Linked DNA regions of Oryzias latipes. The protein of the gene in region 4 interacts with the protein of the main gene of each other region in a pairwise test. Links are inferred from orthologs where the notes say so. Each region holds a gene or a part of one and is shown on either strand. Other genes may lie near its edges.

Region 1 (3,972 bases), on a different chromosome or scaffold from region 4:
GTCATCTCGTAGTCACCATTAAAAATGAAATCTCGAATTAACAGATAGTATAGTGGGCTGCTGAAGGCTACTTGAATGAAGATTTTTTTGAATGTCTTTAGGTCCCTAAGCAGCAAATCCTTAAGCAGCTCCAATCACAGGAAAAAAAAGTGTTGACAACACAAAGGTCTATTTGTGAGCTCCTGATGTAACACTAAGTGATTCTAGCTTTTAAAGGTTTGACAGTTTAATAGCTCCATTATACAGCCAGCTAAAACTCAACAATGCCACACACCAGCTTAGATGACAGGACAGATGAAGACCACAACAGGCTAAATTCTAAATCTATACCTTTGCTTTACATGTTTAAAACAAATATACATGATTTTGAGCCGGGATAGCACATGTTTCAATTAGGAAATATGCTTATTTTATAGGAGGAGTTACAAAATACTATTTCAAGTTTAAGACGGATGTGTCAAAACACGAACCGAAGTGATAAAAACTAGGGATGTCCTGATCAGGTCACATGATCAAAAAATTGGGCCCAATTAACACACTATACATCCCAAGCTTATTATTTCAAAAAATGCCCTAGTAGAAGTCTGTATATCATGAACGGATCACGACTCTAGTTTGAATAGGAGTGAAGAACAAAAACATTTTGGTAAAGTTAGCAATATATTCACAGATTCAGGCTTACGGGCTGAATAACTCTCTTAAGCGCTTTAAACTAACAAAAGGTGTCTCTATCAGTTTGTCTTAAGCCAAGCAATGACCTACAAAGGCATTTCAATCAATTTTTTTCCCTCTTTAATATCTACTCTAGCAAAGAAACCGCTGCCAAGGGACCGTCTACAAAGTGAAAGCTCCAGGAAAAGTGATTAAAAAGAATCAAAACAAATAAATGGTTACATTGATATGAACTAGTCATGAATACTCATCATATTCATGCTGAAACAACAATTTTGGAGGAAAGTCATTGTTTTTAATTTTTGGAAATTTTTAATGGAACAAATCAAATCATATATGTTTAAAAAAAACGATCAATAGTTCTAAAGACACTAAAGATACAGTAACCAAACATTCTTACAAGGACTAATTATAAATATATAGTGCACTTTATAGTGCGTTCACCATTTTGTGAGGCTGTCCAAATCTACAAATCCAAAATCGAGTGGCCTAGAAATTTCCCAGAAGTCATTGATGCAGTGTGCATCAATGCTTACTAGATTGGCAAATATAGACCATTATGCATTGCGTCTGAACAATTTTTGCAAGATAAAATGTATTTAAATCTGTTTTCAAATAAAAATTCAACATTTTCATCATCAGAACACAGTGGATTCATAAACAGTTGTTGTAGAACACTCCTATCAATTAGATTTTCACTTTGTGAAATCGGTTGTCATATTCGCTGTTAGCAAAAAAAGTATTGAGCGTGGTGTCTGAATTACTTTTAAAAGGGCACTACATAGTTTACTATATAGTTTTTAGTAGTTAGGGATTAGGGAGGGAATTCGGACACAGCCTAAAGTTTTTTTTACTTTGGCTAAAAATGGCATGATTGTAATTAAGGGACTTCTAAGAACGTTTTTGAACCAATAAACAAATGATCGGTGTCAAAATGTAAAAGAAAGTTAATAAAATAAAAATAGAGGAGAACCTCGATTAGTTTATTAAAATGTTCATTTATTTGATGCGTTACAAACATATCAGATTGGGACTCATTTTAGGGAGATACTCAAAATCAAATGAATCAAACAAACTGGTGCCCAACACAAATCTAACTGGGACTTTCCTACTAAATAAAAGTTGTAACAAATTTATAAAGGTAAACCCATGTTGATTATGCATTTACTCTATTGTTTTCTGTAGGATGGAAATGTATATTTTAAAGCATAACAGGTTTTAGGAAAATAAATAATGATTTTAAAATTGTTTGACAACAAAACATTCTTTTTATCTTGATATATTATTATCCTGCAGCCTCCTGTACATTTCTCAGAACCTTGGTGGTTCGGATGTATTTCTTCTATCAGCCCGCGGCACGCATCGGTCGGGGCTGCGCTGCTCACCACAGATAGCGAGCAACGCCAAAACAGCAAAGGTTGGACAAAAATGGTCACACAGTCAATACAAGCCAAAGACACCATTTTGAAAATCCCCAGATTTTTTGTGCAACAACCTCCAGAAGCTGCCAGTTAACACGAGACGATCAATCAACACGCGTGAGGTCGAATCATTGGGAAACAAAAGCGCTGGAAACGGTTGAACTCTTATCGAAACGTTAGCTTTCAAGCTAGCCCGAAAAAGACAGCCGCTAACCGGCCGCTGCATCCCCGCATCCATCGGTGCACGCTGCTCACGTCGCTAATAGCAGGCTAGCCGATAAATTACCGGACAATTGCAGGAAAAAAACTAACAACAATAACATGGCTTAAATAATGTAAACATGTTTAAATATTTAGATTCGAAACCTATAAGCATTAACGCACATCCGGTGCATTTAGTGTGTCCATTTAGTGTCCGCTATTATCGTTAGCATTTTTAGCTTAGCCCGCTAGATTCCCACTAGTCACCACGGAGGACAATTGAAGGGAAAGGGAGGGGGAAGAAGTCAAAGAACGCAGATATAAAAAGTCGACCTATGGACATTTCTGCCCTCCACGACAGCCAGCAAAACGGGACTCACCGAAACCACTCGAAAACAAAGACTTCTCGGCGTGCTGCGGTGCGCTCGGTCGGTGAGGACTGGTTCTTTCTGCTCGGCCAGTGACGCTTGGAAACAGCTTTCAACCGGAGAGACGGCCGACGTGTGGGGGATGGGGATGCACCGCCGAGAGGGAAGGAGGGAGGGATGCTGGGATGCAAGCAGAACGGCGGGGGGGACGAGGCACCGATTATGAACGGCGGAGGGGGTCCGATCAGCGGATCAATGCGCTCCAAACCACGAGGAGAATGGGAATTTGCGAAGTCACATTTTTTGTTTTGTTTTAATAATAAAGACAACATTATGGGGGGAAAAAATCTTAGGTTAATACTTTATTATTGTAAATAATTAGTAATACATACTATATGAAGCGGCAACATACATGCAACTGCTTTTGGCAAATTATATTATAATATTGTTTGCATTGTTTTTTTTTCTGTACAAAGAAAATCTGGACGTAGTCTATCTTTCTGTCTTCATGTACGTTTTCTACACAGCAAGACAGCGCCGCCATGTGGTCATAAACCAGGTTGCTCACGAATTGTAATTTGTTGATTTCAAACAATCACATTTTCTTCAGAACTGGCTTAATCCTTGGTGGTATGTATTCAACAAGGTGCTGGAAACATTCCTCAGAGAGTTTTGTCCGTATTAACATGATAACATCACGCAGTTGCCTCGGGTTTGTTGGCTGCACATCCATGATGCCAATCTCCCGTGCCACCACCTCCCAAAGGTGATCTATTGGGTTGAGATCTGGTGACTGTGGAGGTCATTTGAGTCCAGTGAACTCATAGTCATGTTCAAGAAACCAGTCTGAGATGATTCCAGCTTTATGACATGGTGCATTATCCTACTGGAAGTACCAAAAGTAGAAACTGTGGTCATAAAGGGACGGACATGGTCAGCGACAATACACAGGTACACTGTGAAGTTGAAAAGATCCTCAATTGGTACTAAGGGACCCAAAGTGTGCCCCCACACCAGTGCACCACCAGCACCAGCCTAAACTCTTGATATAAGACTGGATGGCTCCATGATTTCATGTTTTTGATGCCAAATTCTGACCCTACCATCCAAATGTTGAAGCAGAGATGGAGATTCATCAGACCAGACAAGGTTTTTCCAATCTTCTATTGTCCAGTTTTGGTGAGTCTGTGTTAATTGCAGCCTCAGTTTCCTGTTCTTAGCTGACAGGAGCGGCACCCGGTGAGGTTCTCTGCTGCTGTAGCCCATCTGCCTCACGGTTGGACATGTTGTGCATACAAAGATGCTCTTCT
Region 2 (4,098 bases), on a different chromosome or scaffold from region 4:
CAATAACTGTCTTTTTTGTGTATTTTCCTTTCTCCTGCCTCAGTGATGCTGAATTTCTCTGGTTACGGAACGTCCAAATAATATACCTTCAAAGCAATGGCTGGCAAACGCAAACAGCACTCAGGTAGAGTTTGTACCTTTCAAGCATAGGATGTCCTCAGATGACCTAATGACAGTCTGCTCGCAGTTCCCCGCTAGAGGTCCAGCACTCACCTTTGCATGAATTCAAGGCTCGTGCCAGTTAGTATACAGGCTCTAATAAAGTCAAAGAAATAAATAGACTGGTAAGCAATGGCAAGACCATCAAGGATTTCCCCAACTCTGATCTTGAAAACTCAAAACAAAGTTTGCTAACTGTCAAATGTTACCTGGAGGAGAATCTGTGTTTCCAAATGATTAGAAACTTTGTGAAATGCATGAAGTGGTAAAGCAATAAAACTCAATAATCACAGCAGTAAAATCCTAAGAAGTAAGCTAACAGTCCTAGAACCCGATCTAGTTTGTTCATCGAGTCTTCCAGCAGGGATGTCCAGCTCTGTGAAGCACTTCCTGTTTGTTTCTGCACCGACTTGCAGCCCCGACTTTGCGTCTCTGACTGAACTATGTTGCATATTTGCATCGTAGTTCAACTAACAAGGAACGGAAACCATATCGCATAGTCGCAAACTTAAAATTTGAACAACTTTCCTTGTCACGTGACCCCTAGAAACGGTAACATCAGGCGGCAATGCTCAAATATAAGACATTAGAAATTGTAACTATGGATTACACTTTTCTATTTTAAACTCAGTCCTGCTGTACTCGTTCTACTTTTCGAACTGAAATATATGTGTGTATATTATTATAAAATATATATTTTAGATGATAGTCACATTGGGTCCTCAGCTTTTGGAGGAATACTAAACAAAATACAAAACCGCCCACAGGGGTGGAGACGGCAGTTTCTGACAATATCACTCCGAGATCAAGATTGAGGGGGAAAAATCAAGCATACCCTGAAAAAATTAGGTATTCTATATAATGCCAGATTAAATGAATGAAGTGTTTGGTGTTTTTTCATCAACAAAAAACTTCACAATAAATATACACGATTTTATTAATTAACAAACATTTATTACGTCTATATAATATTTAAGCAATAAGAACAAGATTGCTCCTACACCTTCAGTAACAAAAATTTAAATTCTACAAAGGCGCGACGGGCACCTTTTAATCTCTCTGAGGACCTTCTTAAAGCGGTGATTGTAGGAAATTCGCTGCTACGACTAAGAAACAAGAGAAAGAGCAAACAATAATTTGTGATTACAGAGTTTCTGTGCGACCCGATTAATTATTTGGACTAGAAATACTATTTTGAGTTACCCTGCCATAGCCTGTAACAATATAGCTCTTTGGAAAAGTCGACCGCCTTATGAGTTGTTGTTTGCGGGGTGGGAATTATCCCCATTACCCAGCTAGTTAGCTAGCGAAAGGCGCTAGGCTAACTTGCTAACTAACGTGAAGTGCAGCTGTTCGGCAGTATTTCACGCATCATTTCAACTGAGTAAGTTGTTTGTTTGTGTTTTTCAAGATGCTTTTGACAAGTTTCTGTTGAATCACATTTTTGCCATCCCCTCAACTCTCAGGGGTTTGCATCGGACTGTCTCAACTCGGGTAACCATAATTAACCAACCTGTGTTTATTGTTGTTCTCTAATGTTGAGGTAAATGGGTGGAGGAAAAATACTACTTGTAGTTAATAATTTGTTACCAGGTGGCATCAACATTTGTCGCAAACATTTTGCGATTCATTGTAATTGACTGCCACTTGTGTTGTCAGGATGCTTTCAATTAAGCCACTAATTGGTCTCCACTGACGGATGGTTTGGGTCTTCACTGTTAAGTGAGTTAACTCCCCCCCCAGTATATATCTATTTTAATTACAGATTTGAAAACAAAGTGCTTAAAAAACTAAACTACAATTACCAACCAAGTTTAAATAATCCTATAGTAGACATGATGCATGTAAAGCTAATGGAAATAAACTATAAACAACATACTAACCTCCGGAACAAATGGGTTTTGATGACTTTGAAAAGTTTAGACCAAAACCACCAATGGACGGATGAAGAGGTTGTTCCACAAATGGAGGACAACTTGAAAAGTTTGATCCCCGTTGATTTGAAGCGTTTTGAGCCCCATCAAATGATTCTGCTTAAAAGATCAACATCTCCAAGCCAAGGATTACAAGGTTAAAAAAATATATATTTTATAAGCTTTATGCCAGCAAAGCTCCAAAATAAGTACCAGTACAGTATTTTGGGTTTGACAAATTATCTGTGTGTACTGTTTGATGTATTTACAAGAAACTTTCTTTAAAGGTTTGGTTTTTTTTTTTTTTCCTGCTAAGACATTGTCTGATTCTGAAACTTATTTAATATCAAGAAGTTGACCAATTATTTATTTATTGCCTCTAATGACACCAAACGAATGTGAAATTCTGCCGTTTTCAACAGGATCAGTAGTTTACCTGGAACCGCTTTGCCTGCATCATGGACAAAGATGCCTCAGAACAGAATGAAAGTGCGTCCACTGAGTCCAAGCAACAGGCACTGGCTACGTCTGCCTACAGATACACCAAGGTGATGAGACGCGTCAGCTAAACGTTGCTGCTTATTCCACACCGTTTTCCTTTTAACACAAGCATTTGTGCACAGGAAGAGCTTCTCAGGATAAAAGAGCTTCCCATTTCCAATCAAAGGCCTGAGTGTCTCTCAGAGAAATATGACAGGTAAAACCGTCTCCTTGTGAAATGCTTTTCTTTTTTATTTCAAGGGTTAGTCATAGATATTTTTTTTGCCTCTTGATTATATATCATATTTTATCAGCTTACATTTGATTGTGGCAGATTTAGTTCACTTAGTGACTAAAATCGCAACAGTTTGACCTTTTGTTCCGAACAGGATATGTCAGTTACAATTACTCTGAGGTTGGTTGGTTGGTTAATTTTAGGGTTAGTATATACTTCCAAAAATACTGAAACGTATTCTATGTGTGTTTTAACCAGCCAGCCCTACTTGATCTTTATGTTACATTTCTTTGCTCACCTTCCCCTAAAAACTGTTCTTTAGTGATGGAGTTTGGGACCCAGAAAAGTGGCATGCCTCACTCTATCCAACTTCAGAGCGGAGCTCTCCGGTGGAAGGTTTTAAGAAGGACTACATGGATGAAAGGGTTCCTTTAAAGCGAAGAATCCCAGGTATGTGCACTTCAAGAGTGAGACAGTGGTGGGAATACCACAAGACTTTTCTGTAGTTGTGACTTCAAGCTTTCAGGAATATTTACTGAAATTTCTGAATGAAACTTCTTTTCTCACCTATTTCCATGAAGATCCCCGTGAGCGGTTGAAGGAGGACGACTTGGACGTCATACTTAGTCCACAGCGCCGTAGTTTTGGCAGTGGATGTCAAGGCAACGCCCTACCCGCTGCTCACGTCCGTCGCCCAACCAGTCCTCTGGAAAACAAGGAGAATGAGAGCCTGCGTCTTGGAGGCCCCCGCAGGATTGGCAGCGGCCGCATCATCCCAGCGCGGGTTTTTGAGAGAGAAGCCCGAGTAGAGAAGGACAGAGAACGAGAGAGAGACTTCAAAGATAAAAGATTCAGGGTTGGTTTCTTCCATTTTTACAAACATTTAGGTCTCTTTAAAGAATTTTCTTTAAATTATCCTGTTATGATGACTAGTCTTGTATTTTAGTATAACCCTGTTGAAAGAAGTTCTCAATACTTTGCATTCAGTAGTCCATCGTTATTCCCTTTTCCATGTCCACCGACCCCTTTTCTGAACTGGCAGAGAGATTTTGGTGACAAACGTGTGTTTAGTGAGAGGAGAAGAAACGACTCGTATGTTGAGGAGGAGCCAGAGTGGTTCTCAGGAGGCCCCACCAGCCAGTCGGAAACCATCGAACTCACCGGATTTGACGACAAGATCCTGGAGGAGGATAAACGCAAGTCCAAGAGGTCCAGGAAGCGGACGGAGCCCATCAAAGAAGGTCGCTCACATGTACATTGAAGACTGTTTTAAAGTTGGCCAGAAAATCATTACTGCTGGGGGGTCTGTTC
Region 3 (4,043 bases), on a different chromosome or scaffold from region 4:
AACCATCTGATGGGTTCTGTTCAGGAGACGGACTGACGACAGCCAATCAGGAAGCAGAACACTAAACGATCAGCAGCACAAACGTCAGAAGTGAACCGCGACCACAAGAAGAACTCAAAAGGCCGAGTTCAACCAAAATGATCAACCGGAGCCAAAGGCTGAAAAACACCAACTAAAAAAAGAAAAAGAAAATTCTGCATCTTAAAAAGCAAAACCAGAACAAATAGCATCCAGTTGAAGAATTCATGTGCTAACAGCTAAAATGTTAGCATTGACGCTTTGTTCTATGGCAGCCCCTCCCACCAATCAGGAGTGAGCTTGTTGGAAGGCCACGCCCCTACCACTGGAAAGCTGTAAACGTTTTGAACACTGGACAAGGGGGTCAACAGGCTCCGCCTACTTTTATTGAGGCGTCTGATTGGCCAGTTAATGACTTGACTAACTTGAGATACAGGAAAAAAAAAGAGTTTTATCAAGTAGATGTTTAAAAACAAAAAGGTATCCGATCCAGAACGGTTCTTCTGACCAACAGAATGACAGCTGTTGATTTGCAGATACTTCCTGTTTGTAGCAAAGGGGAGGGGCCCCTCCGTCCAGTTCCGGTATACAGTCAGTGGTAACAAAAGAATCTGCAGAGAGGTTTTTCTGAAAATCTTAAATCCTTCAGATCAAACTTGTCTGGGGGGTTTTAAGCCGTGCTGCCAGAAGCTGACCTGCATCAGTCACTCAACCTCTCTGTCCCAGAATGCATCTCTCCTGAAGTGCATGAGTGAGCAGAGGGAAAACGAGTGGATTCGTGCCAGTAAAAGCAGCACATGTGATGCCCGTGTGAAGCTGAGGGAAGCATGTGACGGCTGGGTGATGAACGCCGTCACATGACTCTCCACCTCTCAGAGCCTCAGCAGCAGCGGCTCAACCTCCAGCTGCGGGAACCAGCCGGGTGTCGGCTCCAACGCCAAACAAATCCCCATTTTTAAGAGATCTGTGAGCTAAAAACCCGACGGGAATAATCGTCTTATTCCAAAAGACAACGCGAGCCGTTGTTCCACCAAACAGCAGATCCGAGGACCAAACCCGTTTTCTGAAAGCTAATCTCATCTTAATCCAAGAGGGCGATCCGTGCCGCTGAAATCCAGCCTCAGATTTCTCATTTTCACGCAGAACTCAACACAAAAGTCATGAACTAAAGCAATCAGAACGATTGTTTAAGCAATAATTGACCACAAATCTTGAAAAAAACCTAACAAACTAAATGCAGAGACGCCTGACACTCATGAGGGGATTTGTGAGGTTTAAATTAAACATCTTTAGCAGAAAACGTTGTGATATTTTCTTAGACTAAAATAGAAACACAGCTGTCAGGCTCCAAGCTTCCTTTTTCCAAGGTAAAACCTTTTTTTTCTGCTGTGGAATGAGATGCAGAGTCTTCCTACTATATTCACTAACCACAAAAACAATGTTTACAACAATCTGAATGTAAATAAAATTTGAAAAAAGACAACATTTGAGCAAAATCATAAAAACTTTATGATTTTATCAAACATCTGTTTGAGCGGAGCTTCATTTTTCCAAACTGTGGTTCTCCAGAAAAACCATAAACCAGTTTAAAAAGTGAATACAGGAAACAGGTGAGACAGAAGGGACAAAATGAAAACACGTAATGGCGAAGGGGCGTGGTCTAAGCAGTGCGTTCTTGGTCTTATTTTGTTGTTTGTCAACTGTTTTCATGGTGATTTTATTGAACAGAAGGGAAGCAGGTCACAAGATCAAGTATTAGTGCATAACATTTGTAAAACGTTTCTTAGACAGCGTGACAAGCTAACGTGTGCTTTAGAGACCATGATACTACCACCACCTGTCAGCTTAAAGACCACGCCCTCATTTCCATATAAAGTAATCCTCAACCTTTGAATAGGAGGGCTTTAAAACCAGGTACGGTAAAGAACACGGGCGCTAAAGCCACGGCGATTAAAGGGTTCATTTACAGAACCAACCGAATTCTACGACAGAGTCAGTCACAAAAGTCTGGAGGACATTTCACAGCAAGCCTCCTCCGACTGTAGGTTGAGGCTAGTAAACAGAAGAAGAAGAAGAAGAAGCCCCTCCCTGCAGGCGCAGTGTGAACACCTGGTCTGAACGGTGTGCATGTAGTTTCAGAAAAATAACCTCTCTGGGTTTAAGGAGTTCAGCTGTGTTTGTCCTGAAGCTCGGTTCTGAACAGGTTCGGCTCATCAGAACCTGAAGGTTGATCCAGCAGGACAGAATCCCGATGACCCGTCACGGAATGGACCCCTTCACACCTGGGGTGCTTTTGTATCACGTGACCACGAGAGCAGGTGTTTCATAAGAATTTCAACGCGCGCGAGCGTTAGCCCTCATCGCATCGGCGACGGTCCAGCTGCTCCGGAGTGAGGCGCGTGACGAGGCGGGAACTTACCCTCTTAAGTGGCACGGTGCTTCGGAACCAGTTGTAGTCTGGAGACACCTTGATCTCCTCCATCTGCGGACACAGAGACGGTGACTCAAGTGTGTGTGCGGGGGTGTCCGGGCTCAGCTGCTTCCGCGCGGGGGCAGCTGTTAGCCATAATAGCGGCTAGCTGCTAAACGAACCCCGCGGTAACCCCGTTAACGGCGTAGAAACCGACCGCCCCGCCAGCCCCACTCACCGTGGACGTCACCGTGTCAGAGCCCACGCCGCTGCTCGGTGAAGGGTCACCGTGTCCGGAGACGTTTGTCCATGTCGGGTAGCGCTTGGAGCGGCTGCAGCTCGGTCATGTGATTTTCCTTTCACACACTTCCGCAAGTAGCCTCTCCGGTGCTGCGTTCGCGGTCGCTCTGAAAATCCTGTTCTCCGGCAGTAAGAAAGCCGCTTTGGTTTCTTAAGTCTTGCTTAATTTCTGTTGTCGTTACAGTTTTCATCCTATACAATGTAGCACTCAAATGTATTCAATGTTTGTCTGAATATGGAATCAATAGAAATGTAAGAAGACATTACAGACTCGAGATTCTTTCCACACAAAACCCAACGAATCTCCGAATCCCCGTTTTTCTCAAACGCATCGGTCAAACCTCAAGGTAATTCTTCTCATAATTTTAACTTCAGTCATCAAAATATTTGGATGAAAAACTTTCTAAAACAAACTTAATTCTTGAATGAAATGCGTTTTTGTTCGTAAATTGTTCTGAAATTACAATTCATACAAGTAAAATGGAATAATTTACATCTTCAGTGTGGATCAGTCTTTCATTGAAATCCTGTCTGTTCTCATTTTTTTGTGGTTTAACCTGGACAGGAAACTGAAATGACAAGATGTGTAGATTGGTTCCGTTTCCCAGAGCGGTGTTGGTGTGTCGTTCAGACTTTGGCCCCCATCGGTTCTCCAGCTGTTTCTTTAAAAGCTTCATCTGAAATCGTTTAACCACCTCCAAGTGTGTCTGACGTGACGCAGAGAAGATCAGTTATGGAAGGTTTAAACTGCTTCCTCAGGTCGTCCCCACTGTGAAGGTCAGTTTATTGGAAATGTTTTCTTCCCATTTGGAACTTAAAGGCAGCTTTAAAGCTTGTGAAACATGAGCGTAACCCCAAAGTGAATTTATTTACCCTAAACTGTTTAGCTGTTTAACAAACGTTTGATAATGAAGATAAAAAGGAGGAAAACCACAAAAAGACAACAGTAGAAATGATTTTTTTACCAAACTTTATAAAGTTGAGGGAAGTCCTGGAGCCCCAAACAGACTTAAGGACACATTAAGGGAAGAAGCTGCATCAGATTCTCTTCCAGGCACATCAGCGTCTCAATGACAAACGTTTTGGCAGTGAAAGCTCCAGAAGACAGAAGAAGTGCTTTAAGACGTTGGAATCTCCCATCCGACACATGCAGAACGGTCCTGTGCAGCAGCGTTCTGCACTGCTGAAGGTCTGAAGGATGGACGCATTTGAACTCATTCACCAATGTCCAAAGGTCAAAACCTTAGTGAGGGGGCGGGGCCAGAGCCCAGACCCACTGTGGTTAGTCTAGAACACGTTTGAGTCTCCTGGAAAG
Region 4 (4,054 bases):
TTGGTTTTCTTTATGATTAAGGTAACTTTATGAAGCGTTTGGGTTTAATCTCCTAAAAGCGTACAGTCTTGCAAAAGGAGAAGTTTGCTGCTGCTGCAAAACTTCAAAACTTTCAGTTCATGAATTGTTAATTTCAGAAAGATCAGGAAGGTTTCCTCATCTTTCATGTGGCGGCTCTAAAGGTGGAAACACTAAACATGAATCCTTCTACCAGCAGTGCATTCAGGGCTTATTCACTTTTTCCAAATGTTTTATGTCTTGTTTCAAATAGAGTAAACCTCAGGGAGGCGTCAGTTTATTAAATGAAAAGGGCCTTTTTGACATTTAAACCTTCAAGGCACCAGAACCTGGGTTTTTTTGCATCGTTTTTCTTTATTTGGGCCTCAGAGGTCCACAGACATTCCCTTTCTGACATGTTCTGCTGAATGAAAGCTCTCATGCAGACAGGTAGGTGTCCTCTCAAACCCAACCGACTCCAGAACCGCGGGTGGACGTCAGTGAAGCCCACGCATCTCAGAGATGATCCGAGCAAACAGGAGACACCGGGGTTTCATTTAAGCCTTTGACGCACTATTGATGCAAACCGATGCTTCTGCTTCATACTCACCTTAAAGAAAAAACAAAGTGTTTTTTCATAAAATTTCCGGGGGTAAACAATTACTTAGTTTTCTTTTATTTTAAAATCTTTTCTTTTTCCCAGTGTCCAAAAAACAAAAGTGTTCTTTTTATGATTTTGTGCTATTTCAAACAACAATAAAAAAAAATTTCACCCAACATTTGCTTTAAGGGATTTCAAACATTTTTGTCTAAACATATATTCTTACGTTGAAATAATAATAAATAATATGATTGTATTATTCAATATTATAGAGTCTCTAATATAATTTCTATTGTCTATGTGGAACTAAGTTTTGAAGTTTAATAATAAAACTGTAATATTTTATGTTTGGAGTACCATTGTACAAATGTAAATACTAAGATCATGAGGACTTGGTTTTAACCAGTTCGGAAAATTGTGACATTCTGACAATTTTTTTTAATGTAATTCTTGTGGCAAATTGAACACATCTTTTATTTTTTTACAGTTCCCTTTGATCCAACAGTCGTAGTTTTCTTTTGCTCAACCTTTCCTCTTCTGAGTATTTTGTCGTACCGTTTTGTCTCCGTTAGGGGGCAGCAGAGTTTTTGAAGATTCCAAAAAGAGGAAGAGGTTGTTGTTTTAAAAGAAGAAGAGTGTGAAGTTCAGGGAGACTTTGTAAACGTAATTTTGAACGGTAATGTGTTCTTCTTGAAAGGTTATTTGTTCTTTGGTTAATAAAGCCGCGTACTCTGGTCTTTGAAGTGTTTGGCTTTAGAATTAAAAAACACACAGATCTACTCAAGAAATGTACATTCTCCCATCTGTCCCCGACTCACCACAGACTTTGAAAAAAAAAGAGGTAATGAAGGACGCTTTTTGTATAGTGGGGTTTAAATGTAAGCAATTTAAAGTCATTTAAACCAGCAACACTAGCAAGTAGATATTTATGTTTGTTTTGTGCTTGCATGTTTTTACAGATTAAAATTCTGTTTTACGAATCTGAGTTGAGCCAACCTGTCATCGGTTTGAATGCAAAAATTCAGAGGGCGCGTGAAGGCAGCTGGTGGAGCAGAGGAGGAACCTTAGCAACGCAGTTGTAAAGCTAGCGTTTCCCCTGATAGAAATGTCAACATGCACCTTGGTGTTCACGGAGAGCGCGTAGTGTTTTACCTGCAGGCCTCTTCATGCTCCCACGTTCATAATGAAGCTCTTTAGTGAGCCAAGCTAGCCCCGCGGACTTTGGCTTTGTCGTAGCCCCGATCGGCTAGCTAGAACGAGCCGCCGTTAGCTTAGCTAGTACCTCGGTCGGTGAATATGGCGATTGTGTCTGGATCGTGTTCCCGGGTGAGCAGCTCCAGAAACGGGCCGTCGGTGTCCGCCGCGCCGTCCCCGTCAGTCGGACAGTCTCAGCCAATGATAGCGGTGTGGGAATGGCAGGACGACCAGGGCTTCTGGCGGCCGTACAGCGGCCAGGTCTGCTCCCACATCGAGCGGTCCCTGTCCCCGCGGGGCCACCGGGGAGCCGGACCCAGCTCCACCAGCGTCTGCCTCGGACAATCAGATCCCAGTCTGTCCCCCTACCTCATCGACATACCGAGCCTGAAGCAGTTTCGACAGGATACAGGTAAACCGCTTCAGCACCACACCTGAAGTCCGGATTCAGATCAGAGATTCTGGTTTCCGTCGTTCATTTTGTCTTTTTAAACTGCATTTCTGAGAAGATGATGTTGGTTCAGTCAGCTGGTCTAGAAAGCAGCAGTACACTTTAAGTTTATTTTATTAAGTATACTTGAGTACACGTATAGCTAGAATACTAGAGACTATGTAGATTTAGTGAAGTAACTGAGTATTTCTTGGAACATTTTGAGTCCAGGAATAGACAGTATGGAAGTGAACTTCAAGTGCATCACTTTTAGTATAGACCAAGTACCTTTTGTAGTACTCTTACAAAGAGTACTGTCTTGCTGAAGGTAAACTCATTTGCGGGTTTTTGTGCAGGAACCACGCGCTCCGTGCGCCGGTCTCTGTTCCCCCAGTCTTCGGGCCTCGGCAGTGGCGTTTACTGGGAATGGGCCAACGATGAAGGGGGCTGGACTCCGTACGAGACCAGAACTTCCATCCTTCTGGAGCACAGTTACCAGGCCCGCCAGGGGACCGCCGACCTGGGCCCTCACGGATACAACTACATTGTGGACCTCACGTCTTTCGCCCAGGTCAACAAATCAACGGGTTTCAGACGGCAGGTTCGTAGACTGGGCAACTCCCCGTTCCCGCTGGCGTCCCCGGGGCCCCCGGCTGTCCCCTTGGGGCCGGCCTGCTCCTGCCAGCAGTGTTTGAGCCACAGCAGCACGGGGCCCATGCCCAGCCGCTCCCGACATTCCTTTTCTTCGGGGAGTCTGAACCGACCCGGCCTGCAGGGACCAGGAAGGGCAGCCGCGACCCACCCCACTTCCGTCTACTCGCCGTATCCCCGGAGGCCCCACTCTGTTGGGGGGATATCCTGGGGCAGCCCCTGGCTCCCCCCTCCCTCTGCCAGTCAGATCTCGGCGTCGCACCTGAGCGGCTCCGCCAGCGCCAACGGGCTCAGGTGGGTTCCGCCTCTCTGTCCGGGGTTTCTGGTATCTGCTAAAACGCTGCCGGTCCCGTTCCAGTCGCCAACACGGATCTGAAGTCACTTTGTGGGGTCAAATGGTTTTACCTGAACAAATGTGGGACAGACATGGATAAAATAGGAACTCTTACATTTTGATTTGATTTGATTTTTGATTTGAAATGGTTTATTTCAAGCAATCAAGGAAGAAAAATACACAAAAACAATACAATCAGCATATTTTATTACATGTTTTATCTTTATCCGGTTCAGAACTTTTATCAGACAGAATTAAGAATCTTTTGGTGTCAATAAATCTCATGATAAAGATGAATTTCTTAATTATTATGTAAAAATAGACATAACTCTATTTTAGAAATAGCAAATGCAGATCAATTATCTAAAATATAAGCTGATTATATTCATTAGAACAATGATGTATATGATTAAAAAATAATACTATATCAGTAAAATAGACATAACACTGTTTCAAAAATCTTCAATATCAAAAATTGATCAAAGTTCAAAAGTTAAAAATATGTGCAAAATTAAGTTTCATTAAGAAAAACCATGAATCCATTTTTGGAGCAAGTGAAGTAATGTAATTAGAAATCACTCATTTTAACCATCTTCGATAATTGATTATGCATTATTTTTATCTTTATTTTATCTTTTTTTTATTTTAAGGTAGTTCTGTGAAATCAAATAAAATGAGAATAAAATCCTTGGTTGTGTCTGAATTCCCACCCTAACCCCAAACTACATAGTGCAGCACTGTGTAGCGCCCTGAATGTTAAAGCGATTCGGACGCCACGCTCACTACTTGTATTTTTTAGACGGCGGATATGACGTCATCGATTTCACAAAGTTAAAATCGAACTGAT
Region 5 (3,463 bases), about 3.0 Mb from region 4:
AATATGAAAGGACTTATCAAACAAACAAGTTTAACATTCATTAAAATAAATTTGGGTTTTTTTAACCTTTAAGGTTTTATTTTTAGTTCACTTAATACAAAAAATCTGTCAAAAATCATCAAATTTAACAAATTTAGTAAGATGTTCTACAATTATTTATGTTTGTAGTACTTTGAAAATACTTATCCATGCTTTTACTGTGAAACATTCCCATTTTGAAGAACAACATGAATAAAACTTAAAAGAACATGAATAAAACTACATAACAGCAAAATCTGAATATAAAATGCATTTTATGTTTCTATAGCAAAAAAAAAGAACTATTGGTACTGTAAAATAATATTTTGTATTTGGCTCCCTCTGTTGGGCATATATGATAAACACAACAGAAAACTGCAAAGTAATAGTCAGTCATTCTTTACCTCTTCCCAATTCATAAGAAAAGAATGTTCTCCTTTATTTTTCTCACACCACTATAAAAATAACTGCCAAATGTCAGCTTCTCTTGTTAAATAAAAATGATTTATTTTGAACATCAAATTACAGTCAAAGTTTAACTGCACAATTGCTAAAGTACAGACGACTGAAAAAAGTTTTCAAGGCTTTCCTTATTTAAAACTCAACAAAAGTGAAGAATGTATCTTAAATTTTGTCATTCCAGCTATCTCTGCACTTATCCAAAAAGTTATATTGGAATTCCTTTAAAGTCCAATGCAATTTTGAGCAGCTGAGCTCCAAGCTCTGCCTGCTGCCCGCCCGGCAGAAACTCTGCAGACAACTCCCTGTAGGTGCTGCACACCCGGCGCTTGTGAATATCTTGCCTGCGAATGGCGTGCTTCCATCGATGCCTCGCTTCGCCGTAAACCACGACTAAACATCTGCGTGGAAGGCGAACGGCCACATGAATTTCCTCTGACAGTCCCAGCTCTGGCAGACCCTGCTCAAGCGACATGGTGAGTGTGGTGTCTGATAGCATGTTGATGGTGACGAGTCGCTCCCCCCAAAGCCAGGAGTCATCAAAGTGCGGGTCTATGGCTGAGCCCCTCTGAGGGTTGTAGTCCAGGTTGCACTGCTCCACTGGCTGAAAGCCAGACAGGCATGGCTCTTGCTGCATCCGTAGTACGAGTTCTTTGCTCAAACTAGGGAGTCCACTGAAGCCACCCACACGCACTTTTCTTTTTTTAAAGTTCACCTTTGGACCAAAATCCTGCAACCAAAATGAGAAAAATGGTTAAATTATAAATCAATGTACTTAATTTCAATGTAAATCTCTCATCATGTCTTTTCAGAAGAAAAAATGTAAACCTTTTTAATCTGACTGGGAGAGCATTACCTGTTTCCTTCGACCAGACTGGGATGGGTTCCAGGCATCCTGGTCCATTGAGTTAATCAGCTGCTTCTCTTCCTCTTCAGATATAAAGTCGTCCCATAGGAAGATACCAGGAAACGAGAAGGATGCACTCCCTGCATCTTTGCAGACAGCAAGCTTTGTCTCAGGATTGTAGATGAAATGATGCGCCGCCTAAAAAAAAGACAACAGTAAACAAATGTCTATTTATATAAATTATTACTTCACTTTTAGCCTCTTTGTAGGAAACTGAGGCAGTTTCATTCACATACTTCAGATAATGTGCTCTTTCTTTTAGCAAATATGTTAGAAAATTACATTTTGCTTTTAAACAAAAATATTAAAAATGTGGTGTTTTTTTTAGATCGCCCAAAGTGAAGTGTATTGTTCTATGTGCTGTTATGTTTAAAGTTATTCTGTTTTAGGTTTGTGGATTATTAACAAGAAACACTCAACAACAAAAAATAAAGTCTTAAAAAAAAAACAACAACTTAAGTTAATGTGAGAAACTAGTCAGGTTATTCTACACTCTTCTTCGTATAAGTTCGTAAGAAATCGTGAATAACTGTTTTAGCTTTTTGTTGTTTAGTCACACAAGTGGGAAAAATATTGGTATGAATCGGAACGACTGACAAAAGCAAACAAATTGTAACTTAAAAATTTCATGGTAAATAAAGTATTCACCTAGCATATTGATGCTTTGAGATCATGTATTTTGTCCAGCGAGGACCTCCGTACATTTGAAAGAAGCGCAAACAGGTAAATGCAGGGGGTTCAAATACAATTAATTGTTAGTTTTAGTTAAATACAGATACCTTTGGATCTTTTGTCCCCTCTTTTTCTTTGCGATTTTCGCACAAAAGACACAGCCGGATCCCTTTACATCCGCATTGAGAAACACCGTCGCTGCCGTCCGGAGCCATCATTCTGAGCCAACCGGAACTAACGTCTTGTGGGTTAAAGGTATATGCTTGTATGGTTGAAAGGTAGAGGCGCAGGATATAATTATAAAATAGTTAGATTTAGAAACCTTATCTGTAAACATTTAATTTTTTAGCAGCACACAAAATAAGTACATTCATATTTCACTAACTTTATTATCATTATCCACAATCAAATTCACTTTGAAGCTATTTTGCCTATGAGTCAAAGCTCAGGGTATATAAAACAGCACACACCGGATATAAACATTTTCCCCCGGAAGTAGACATTTTCCCCGCGAAATTTTTAGTGTCGCGTTTGTGTTCGTGTATCCTTGGTTGGTGAGTTTTTTTTATGTCCAAATTTTACGAGCTTGTAATTGCAAATTAATGAACTGAGTATATTCGTAGATTCAACAATGTTTTAATCGATCTTTCGTTAGATTTACTTCAAATATTTTAAAACCCAGAAAATGCGTCCAAACAACAACGTCAACTTGACCGTCAACGTGGCTAAAATATCTTTTGTAACTAAGATTACGTACATTATTTAGTATCACATAAGTTTAGCTAAAAATACAATCCTTAATGTAACGTTTTGCACAGTCACTTTTCCTTGTTATAATTAAATAATGCATCGAAATTTCCAAAAGTTCTAAACTCAAAGCTATTCATGATGATTGTGAAGTATATCTTAATAAAATAATGCTTTTTAGTACTTTTATTGTTGTTGTTTTTTTGTCTTACTTTGTTCTTATCTTAAACCATTGTAAATCCTGCCTTCATTGTAGCGCTTTGAGATTTTACCCAAAATATAAAGCGCATTCTAAATAAAATTTATTATTATTATAAAAAAAATGTGCCTAATTCCCTTTTGCTCGTTTTGTTCTTGTTTTGTGCTTACCGCTTTAATGTATGTTTGTCAATTTATGAATAAAGGTGGGAAAAAATGATTTGCTAAAATAGTTTTGCTCAATTTACTTATAAAACGTCTTTAACCTTTTGTTTTGTTAGTTTAAAACATGTTTGAGTGGCAACACATCATCTCTTTTTGGCTGTGGTGTTCAAATAAGCTTTGTGTTCACTTTAATTTAGTTAATTTTATAGATTATCACCCAACCAAACCTCTGAGGGACCCATCATTTGGCAGAAAATGTAAATAAAGTAGTAAGACAACATTCACCTAGATTTACAA

The links. The genes of interacting proteins can lie anywhere in the genome.
Region 1: the proteins of probable E3 ubiquitin-protein ligase DTX2 (region 4) and fam168a interact in binary tests that used the Homo sapiens proteins (3 or more experiments, as listed by UniProt). The two-hybrid records come from large-scale screens. The link is inferred for Oryzias latipes from reciprocal best matches to the Homo sapiens genes DTX2 and FAM168A.
Region 2: the proteins of probable E3 ubiquitin-protein ligase DTX2 (region 4) and eif4enif1 interact in binary tests that used the Homo sapiens proteins (3 or more experiments, as listed by UniProt). The two-hybrid records come from large-scale screens. The link is inferred for Oryzias latipes from reciprocal best matches to the Homo sapiens genes DTX2 and EIF4ENIF1.
Region 3: the proteins of probable E3 ubiquitin-protein ligase DTX2 (region 4) and spg21 interact in binary tests that used the Homo sapiens proteins (3 or more experiments, as listed by UniProt). The two-hybrid records come from large-scale screens. The link is inferred for Oryzias latipes from reciprocal best matches to the Homo sapiens genes DTX2 and SPG21.
Region 5: the proteins of probable E3 ubiquitin-protein ligase DTX2 (region 4) and alkbh4 interact in binary tests that used the Homo sapiens proteins (3 or more experiments, as listed by UniProt). The two-hybrid records come from large-scale screens. The link is inferred for Oryzias latipes from reciprocal best matches to the Homo sapiens genes DTX2 and ALKBH4.

What each region holds. Positions count from the first base shown.
Region 1 is NC_019871.2:20,750,915-20,754,886, forward strand, and holds the start of fam168a (protein FAM168A), read right to left. Parts: upstream 2,801-3,972; 5' UTR 2,675-2,800; intron 2,090-2,674; exon of another isoform or gene 1,295-2,089; intron 1-1,294.
Region 2 is NC_019863.2:612,818-616,915, reverse strand, and holds the start of eif4enif1 (eukaryotic translation initiation factor 4E transporter), read left to right. Parts: upstream 1-1,298; 5' UTR 1,299-1,543; intron 1,544-2,101; exon of another isoform or gene 2,102-2,229; intron 2,230-2,494; 5' UTR 2,495-2,530; coding exon 2,531-2,620; intron 2,621-2,695; coding exon 2,696-2,769; intron 2,770-3,109; coding exon 3,110-3,237; intron 3,238-3,368; coding exon 3,369-3,643; intron 3,644-3,829; coding exon 3,830-4,028; intron 4,029-4,098. UniProt on the Homo sapiens protein: EIF4E-binding protein that regulates translation and stability of mRNAs in processing bodies (P-bodies). Plays a key role in P-bodies to coordinate the storage of translationally inactive mRNAs in the cytoplasm and prevent their degradation.
Region 3 is NC_019861.2:37,280,528-37,284,570, forward strand, and holds the start of spg21 (maspardin), read right to left. Parts: upstream 2,801-4,043; 5' UTR 2,667-2,800; intron 2,501-2,666; coding exon 2,438-2,500; intron 1-2,437. UniProt on the Homo sapiens protein: May play a role as a negative regulatory factor in CD4-dependent T-cell activation.
Region 4 is NC_019872.2:28,224,167-28,228,220, forward strand, and holds the start of probable E3 ubiquitin-protein ligase DTX2, read left to right. Parts: upstream 1-1,254; 5' UTR 1,255-1,894; coding exon 1,895-2,204; intron 2,205-2,578; coding exon 2,579-3,167; intron 3,168-4,054. UniProt on the Homo sapiens protein: Regulator of Notch signaling, a signaling pathway involved in cell-cell communications that regulates a broad spectrum of cell-fate determinations.
Region 5 is NC_019872.2:25,208,760-25,212,222, forward strand, and holds alkbh4 (alpha-ketoglutarate-dependent dioxygenase alkB homolog 4), read right to left. Parts: upstream 2,286-3,463; 5' UTR 2,275-2,285; coding exon 2,164-2,274; intron 2,079-2,163; exon of another isoform or gene 2,033-2,078; intron 1,523-2,032; coding exon 1,334-1,522; intron 1,208-1,333; coding exon 686-1,207; 3' UTR 501-685; downstream 1-500. UniProt on the Homo sapiens protein: Dioxygenase that mediates demethylation of actin monomethylated at 'Lys-84' (K84me1), thereby acting as a regulator of actomyosin-processes.